Linked DNA regions of Nothobranchius furzeri. The protein of the gene in region 1 purifies or fractionates together with the protein of each later gene. This does not show direct contact. Links are inferred from orthologs where the notes say so. Each region holds a gene or a part of one and is shown in the gene's direction. Other genes may lie near its edges. The genes, in order: usp48 and uba6.

The links.
Region 2: the proteins of usp48 (region 1) and uba6 fractionate together in Homo sapiens (co-fractionation; 3 studies listed by BioGRID, with this or other methods). This does not show direct contact. The link is inferred for Nothobranchius furzeri from reciprocal best matches to the Homo sapiens genes USP48 and UBA6.

Annotation. Positions count from the first base shown.
Region 1 is NC_091743.1:4,791,138-4,795,450, reverse strand, and holds the start of usp48 (ubiquitin carboxyl-terminal hydrolase 48), read left to right. Parts: upstream 1-1,244; 5' UTR 1,245-1,759; coding exon 1,760-1,893; intron 1,894-2,199; coding exon 2,200-2,320; intron 2,321-2,443; coding exon 2,444-2,585; intron 2,586-4,313.
Region 2 is NC_091747.1:78,737,630-78,741,451, forward strand, and holds part of uba6 (ubiquitin-like modifier-activating enzyme 6), read left to right. Parts: intron 1-507; coding exon 508-584; intron 585-676; coding exon 677-743; intron 744-997; coding exon 998-1,141; intron 1,142-1,238; coding exon 1,239-1,385; intron 1,386-1,466; coding exon 1,467-1,547; intron 1,548-1,647; coding exon 1,648-1,725; intron 1,726-1,804; coding exon 1,805-1,986; intron 1,987-2,319; coding exon 2,320-2,425; intron 2,426-2,530; coding exon 2,531-2,620; intron 2,621-2,709; coding exon 2,710-2,790; intron 2,791-2,858; coding exon 2,859-2,987; intron 2,988-3,068; coding exon 3,069-3,120; intron 3,121-3,201; coding exon 3,202-3,265; intron 3,266-3,436; coding exon 3,437-3,506; intron 3,507-3,580; coding exon 3,581-3,652; intron 3,653-3,728; coding exon 3,729-3,822. UniProt on the Homo sapiens protein: Activates ubiquitin by first adenylating its C-terminal glycine residue with ATP, and thereafter linking this residue to the side chain of a cysteine residue in E1, yielding a ubiquitin-E1 thioester and free AMP.

The DNA of each region.
Region 1 (4,313 bases):
AAGGCTACAAACTAGCTTGTTTTGACTAGCTTTACTGCAGTTTCAACGGGTGTAAACAATCTTTTTGCCGTCCATCATGGTGAAGGGGGAGGTCACATGAGTGGCGTGACGTCACGTGCAAAGGGTCAATTGCTGGTAGGAGCTTCAGAGTGTGTGTATGCTCCTAAGGGTAGAAATTGTATTATTCCAGAACTAAATCCCGGTAGCATATTCATCGGTAACATATGTCCTTTATTGAGGGATAAAGCCACAAATCAATGTATTAGACAAATCATTCAAAGAGATATTGTTTCCAAACATGCAGCTGTATTTTACTGGAACAATATTTACAATGATATAGACTGGAAAAACACTTGGATTCTACCAAGAAAATTTATTATAACTAATAAGATAAGAGAGGTTTCTTTTAAGTTGATCCACAGATGTTATCCGGTAAAGACATATCTGGTTAAACGTAAGAAAAATATTGATACTCTTTGTACTTTTTGCAGCAATGCAGAGGAAACAATATGTCATTTATTTTGGGAATGCACTTATACACATGTATTTTGAATTGATCTAAATAATTTTATAAACACCAAAATTGATCCCTCTTGTAAATTGAAGTTTCACCATATTCTATTTGGCCTCTCACATACCGATAAAATTATTTCAGGAAAAAAAAATATTATTAATCTTCTGATCATTTTTGCCAAATTTCACATACATTGTACAAAATTCTCTCAACAGCGTCCAAACATATTTGCTTTTAAAGCCCTGTTTTCCAATTATCTGAAGAATCTTAATAACAGTACTAACTCCAAAGCGTGTAAAACACTAGAGCTGTGCCGAATGTATAATTTCACTTGTTTTACTTGTTTATTTGTACCTTGAGCATTTTATTTATTTATTTATTTTTATTTCAAATTTTTATCCAGTTATTTTGTTAATCTGTTTTCTCCTAAAGTATACCTTTTTGTTTAAGTATACATAACTTGTTCAACTTGTTATTACAAGATGTGGAATGTTTATACCCTTTCTATATTCTACAATGCCATGTATGTTTGTTATTCAAATGTCTAAATGAATAAAAAATAATAATAAAATAAAAAAGTGCTGACGAAATGAATGAATGAATAAATAAATAAATAAATAAAAGGAGCTTCAGAGCGTAGGGGGCGAGGGCTTCCGCTGCAGAACGTGTCCTGCGTCACTCGTTCACGTCGTGTTGATTTAGAACCGAGAGTTTATTTATTTATAACTTGACGTAAGGGCGCTAAATCTCAAATAAGCTGCAAATAAAATGTGGACTTCTAAGATCATATTGATGAAGTTACACACATAATAGGTCCGATTCCATTTGTCTTCAGCACAATAAATGTGTTAGGTGTGCGTCAGTTTACGTAAACAAAGTAAGCCCTTGGCTAAATTAGGCTAAATGACACGTTAGCTTAACCGGTGTAGCTAGCTAAATATTAGCGATTTCGAGCAGTTTACTACTTTCCACGAAGAAAAGATCGCAGAACGCAAAATTGTTGTGTTGAATGTGTTGCGGCAAGTGGTGCCTGTTTTAATTCTCAATTCAATAAGAGTCATACGAAGCCAGTTTTTAGCTTAGCATCCCAGTGAAGAGTGGCTATTAACGGTCGTATGTGCTCATTTAGCTTTGGCTAGTTGGCTATGCTAGCATTGTTTGGGAACAGCTCGGACTGCTGTAGTCATTTGCTTTCTTGCCATTGTTTATTATTTGTGACTATAGTAAAGTTTGCATCGTGGGATAATGGCACCTCGCGTACAACTGGAGAAAGCGGCTTGGCGTTGGGTGGAATCGGTAAAACCAGAAGAAATCAAGCAAGAACACATAGAGCTAGCATACCGCATCAACCTCCCGGCCTGCAAGAGAGGAGCCTGCAGGTACTTTAACATTTTTAACACGATCGTTGCGCTTCGCTGCCAGCAAAAACACATTATTGACCATTTCAGTGACCAGCCTCTTATAACGCTGCAAAGACACTAGCCTCGGTTTTCAGTTGTGGTGCTGACAGCACTGCCTAATGCTTACTGGCAGCCTCATAAACAGTAAAAAAAGTTAGAAGTGCCACGTTTATGTGCTGCAGTGCTGTGCTGTTGTTTAGCACCGTGGTGCTTCAGTACCACATCCTTTTGAAACAGAAGCCTTGTTTAAAGTGGCTATGATGACCAGGACTCATTTTCCCCTAGGAGGAATTGCAGAGGGAATCCCAACTGTCTTGTTGGAATTGGTGAACAGGCATGGCTTGGGGAGATAGATGAAAACGTTTTCCATAATATTGATGATCCAAATTCAGAACGGCGGGACAAGGTACTTCTTTCTACTATCTGCTCACTCAGCTAGTGTTTCTTAGGTGTTAATACCACCATTGTTCTATCATCTAGACTAGAGCTGATACCTTAATTCTCCCTGTCTGTCTGTGTGTCTTTATAGAACACCTTTGTTGGTCTGACCAACCTTGGAGCAACATGCTACGTCAACACATTCCTGCAAGTATGGTTCCATAACTTGGAGCTTCGAAGAAGCCTTTACCAGTTCCACAATTCCCGAGCAGAGGAACACAACATTCAATCTGGTATAACTACAACTGTATCTGGGTGTGACCTTTGTTGTGACTTTTTCCAGGTTTTAACCCCAAGAATTAACAGCATCCACCTCAGATACGTGGATTTTCAGAGAGAACCAAAGGCAAATTCCACGTTACACTAGTCATTTTAATTTTAGTAGCTTTAGTTGTACTATATATGTATATATATATATATCTATCCATATATATATATATATATATATATATATATATATATAGATAGATATATATATATCTATATATATATATATATACCGTAAATCCTCTAATACAGGCCTGTATTCAATTAACGGCTGGGTCTCATATTTTGGCCGGTGTCGGAGTCGGCGGAGGTGAATAATGGCCGGTCTCTTATTGTGGCCGGGTGGAATGTGGTAACAAGCAAGTACGGGGGGCGGTTGTGTCATCGTCTCACTTTTGATTTGCCAGTGATAGACCGCGAGGGTAACTTTAACCATGCGGAGACGAAGAGGAGGCGAAAATTTGATATCAAGTTCAAAGAGAACGTGCTGATTATGCTGCAGAACACTGGGGAGCAGTAGGGGTTGTATGAACTAGTGACTAGTCGACTTCACTATAGTGACTTTTTATGCCTGTCATCGACTAGTCGCTGTCACGTGATAATGACCGGCAAGATGCAGCCCTCGGAAAAGACAGCAGCCTGCTGTCAGCAGGTGACAAGCTCCTGCGCATCGGGGGGGGGGGGGGGGGGGGGGGGCAACACGCTGTGCCAGAGCGTCGGTACTGACACGCGATCGTTCATGTCGGTTCATTTCCTTTAATGTTTTCTGTCTTTTATTTGCGCCTGATGTGTTTCGCTGCTGTGGAGCGGGGCGCATCACCTTGTCCTCCGGTGACGAACCGATCACTGATGCGGCCGCCAAGCAGCGAGCACTCCGCTGTTTTTGCGGACGGTAGATCTGCGTCCTGAGCACGGCCACAGTAACATTATCAAATTAGGTGTCGCCACCTCAAAAACTAATTTAACACGCGATTGTTCATATCGGTTCATTTCCTTTTATGTTTTCTGTTTTTTATTTGCACCTGATGCATTTCACTGTGGAGCGGGGCACATCACCTTGTCCTCCGGTGACGCACCGATCACTGATGCGGCCGGCAAGCAGCGAGCACTCCGCTGTTTTTGCGGTCGGTAGATCTTTTAGAACTGCAGTTCAAAGGTAACTCATAAGGTGAATATAAATGAACCCAGGTAGCAGTTTTTCTTTAGGATTGAGAGGAGATGCAGGAAGATAATAAACAGGCAGGACAGAAAAATAGTCAAATAAAAACACGTTAGTTTTTGTACCTGGTGGTTGCAACAAACATACACCATGGACGGTAATCAGAGGTGAGGAACAGAAAATGAAATAATTATTTTAATGTTTAGAGCAGCAGGAACTCTGAGAGGCTGCAGGCACATCAGTGAGTTTGCTGCCGCTGCGCAGGGGGAGGGGGGAGAGGGCTGAAGCAGAAACTACCGTTGTTAAAAGAAATGTGTTTAACTTTGAAAATGTGGGCGCAATTTTAATTGTCAAAAACTCCAGCGAACCATTAGCTCATTTTGCTCAAATAGAAATAGAGGCCTGCCTCTAATTCTGGTCCTCCTTCCAATAAAGGCCTGGAGCTTGGTGAGCTTGAGTCAAATACATGCCCGGGCCTGTATTAGAGGATTTATGGTATATATATATATATATATATATATATATATATATATAG
Region 2 (3,822 bases), on another chromosome or scaffold:
ACCGGTTAATCCCTGCAACCTTAAGTCGGTGTCCCCAAAAGCAACATTGCACACAGGCTCCTTAGTCTAAGGGTGACACCACTGATGTCTCTGCACATCTTTGGCCCCGCCCACATACTCTGACATTTCCGCGTTCTCGAGAAGGCTGAGTGAAAGGAACCTGGCCGTGCTACCAAGACCGGGCTAGGCCAGGTTATGTTCACACAGCCTTCTGATCTAACCTGATGGATTAATGCTGGATTTTCTGGCGTGTGTAATCGGCTGTATTAACATGCTAAACTAAACCTGAGAGCTTTTCACAGCAGCAGATCAGTTATCCATACGGTCACTTGATGCCCTTCATAATTGAATGTGTGTTTAACAGTAAGAGTGTCAGATTTGCTTTTGTCCAGTGGCGAGTTAAGACCAGTTTAACCAGATAACTAAAGTAATTATAGTTGCATACTCTGATTAAACATCCAAATCCTTTAGTTAGTGTCACATTGTTGTTTTAAATCCACCCATCAGGCCCCGCTACAGATCCATGCCGCCATGTTGGCTCTGGACCGATTTCAGGAGCAGCTCTGCAGACTCCCCAACGTCGGGTAAACAGAACTAGCCCGTGTGCTTTATCGGAGTGAAGCAGGTGATGGATGGATGAGAGGAGGGACTTCCTGAACGTTTCTGCTGTTTTCAGGTGTTTACAGGATGCTGATACTTTATTAAAGCTGACTGAGGAGGTGAACACCACCCTTAAAAACAAGGTGAGTATTTTATTCCTTCTTTTGTAGCTGTTGGTTTTAGGGGTGAATGTTGGATTTTCAGAATGAACATGATGCTTCCTAGATTATAGTCAGAACCGTCCAGTAGCTTTATAATAAATACAGTTACATGTAATGTATGCATTTGAATATAAGACTACTCCTACTTTAGGTGTAAGACATCTTAGTGGTCAGCAGGTTTGTTTTCACACTGTTGATCCAGCTTCACACCCTTTGATTGCCTCTCTCCCTCGCAGGCTCCTGTAAACTCTGAGCTGGTGCGATGTTTGTCCAGGACCGCCAGAGGAACTCTGGCTCCGTTAGCTGCAGCTGTGGGAGGAATAGCCAGTCAGGAAGTTCTAAAGGCTATCACAGGGAAGTTTGCACCTCTGCAGCAATGGGTAGGGTTCTGTCAGAGCGTTGAAACGTAGCACATCGGTGGGTTTTCTCCCACTTGTAATGATCTGATCTCTCCCAAACCGTTTCTCGTGTGTTTAGTTTTATCTGGACACCTTGGAGCTCGTCAGGCCTCTCCAGTCTCTTCCCTCTGAGGAGTTTTTTCCACGAGGCGATCGATATGACGGATTGAGAGCTTGTATTGGTGAATCCATGTGTCTTGATCTACACAAGCTCAGGGTCTTTATGGTAGGAACTGGACTTTATCTGCATATGAAACACCTCTGTTCAATTGTGTCTAAATAAACGTCGTTGTTTTCTTTTTTTAAGGTCGGTTGTGGTGCCATCGGTTGTGAGATGCTTAAAAACTTTGCTCTCCTTGGTGTGGGATTGGCCAGCAGCTCTGGGGAGGTGTGCACGTCTTCCTCAGCTTCTTCCTGCAGTTTGACCCGTTTTTGGTGTTTACTGCTGTGTGTGTGTGCGTGCGTGTGTGTGTGTGTGACCTTCTCAGGTGTGCATCACTGACCCAGACCTCATAGAGAAGTCAAACCTCAACAGGCAGTTTCTCTTCAGACCCCATCACATCCAGGCGAGTCGATGCTTTAGTTCTGGCTGTTACACGAGTCGAATCAGATCGAGCATCTGATTTTCCTGTCGTCTGCGTTTAGAAGCCAAAAAGTACGACCGCAGCAGAAGCCACGCGGGAGATCAACCCAGAGCTGCAGGTGGAGGCTCACCTGCACAAGGTGTGTCCAGCTACTGAGAACATTTACAACGACTCCTTCTACTCCACGATGAACATCGTGGTCACTGCGCTGGACAATGTGGAGGCGAGGAGATACGTGGACAGGTGTGTGAAGACACTGTGTAGATGCAAGCTCCACTTAAAAGAGAGGATGCTCCGATCAGGTTTTAATCTGCCGATCACCGCTACCGATCAGTCGGAGCACCCCTAATTTGTAGTGCACGTTGCAATGTTGGGTAAGAAGATGGGGACAGACCTTCAGAACTTCTTATCTTTGGGTGGTGGGTCTCTTACACCTTCTACAGTCCAGTTCAAAAACTGATCACTCACGTGGGATAAACTTTGCTCCCGACAAGTTTTAGGTTACATATACATGCACATACCACACGTATACTTAATTCAATGCAGATGTGTTTTGTTTTTGTTTGTTTTTTTCAGCCGCTGTGTGTCCAATCAGAGACCTCTTCTAGACTCGGGTACCATGGGAACTAAAGGACACACTGAGATCATTGTGCCAAACTTGACCGAGTCTTACAACAGCCATGTGAGTTCATGGAAAAAGTTGTTTTGGTTTAATTCTCTAAAATAGCTTAATTAATAATTAATAATTCCCCCTCTACTCTAAAATCTCCATCCTTCTGCCTCCCAGAGGGACCCTCCAGAAGAGGAGATCCCATTCTGCACTCTCAAGTCTTTTCCCTCCGTTATAGAGCACACCATCCAGTGGGCTAGAGATAAGGTGTCGCTGCCTCAATAATCATTCTTTCCATACTGCACATAGTTAGGAGTCCTAGTAACTTGATATTTGTTTCTTTGGTTGTGGTCTAGTTTGAGAGTGCGTTTGTCCACAAGCCCTCCATGTACAACGCTTTCTGGCAGATGCACCCTTCAGCTGAAGCGGTGCTCCATGTGAGTTTCACCAGGAAACGCGTGTTCTTCATGTAGCACGCCTTTAAAATCTGTCTGTGTTCATGCAGAGGATGCAGGCTGGGGAAAGTCTGGAGGGGTCATTCCAGGTCATTAAGCTGCTGAGTCGACGGCCCAGTCATTGGGAACAGTGCATCGCTGCAGCCCGTCTGAAGTTTGAGAAGTATTTCAAAAGAAAGGTACTACTTTCTACCTTTATATAGCAACCATAGTGATGAGCTTCAGGCCTTATGGGTTGTTTATATGTGCTGCTCATGTAGGGCCAACAGCTGCTGCACTCTTTCCCTCTGGAGACGAGACTAAAAGATGGAAGTAAGTTCTTATGAAGTTGGTCAGCAGCTTCTAAACAACATCAGTTGTGCCACAAACGTCATCCTGACTTTATCTGTTTAGGTTTGTTTTGGCAGTCCCCAAAAAGACCCCCAACACCGATTGAGTTCGACTTGAAGGACCCGTTGTGAGTTTGTTCTTGTGTTGGTTTGTGTTTTATGCACACACACACACACACACACACACACACACACACACACACACACACACACACACACACACACACACACACACACACACACACACACACGCGCGCAGTTATCATTCAAATGTACAAAACCTTCTCTGCTCCCGTCAGGCACTTCAGCTTCATCATCAGCACTGCACGGCTCTTTGCAGACATTTATAACATCTCTTACTCCGTGAAGGTAGGCCTCACACACACACACACGCACGCACGCACACACACAATGACCTCTTGCATGGCTATTCTGTTCATCAGGATCTTTCTGAAGAGGCGGTGTCAAAGATTCTCTCAGGTGTCAAGATTCCCGAGTACAGACCTTCAGAGAAAGTAGGCGTCTGTTGGTTTCATCTTTGTTTCAGTGGAGAAACGGAAAATCTAACGAGCTTCGATCTGTGCCTGTTAGTGCATAGAAACCGATGAGTCAGCAAAGAAGCCTGACCAGCTGAAGATGCCTCTAAGCAGCGAAGAGGAGAGGGAGGCCATCACACAGCTGGAGC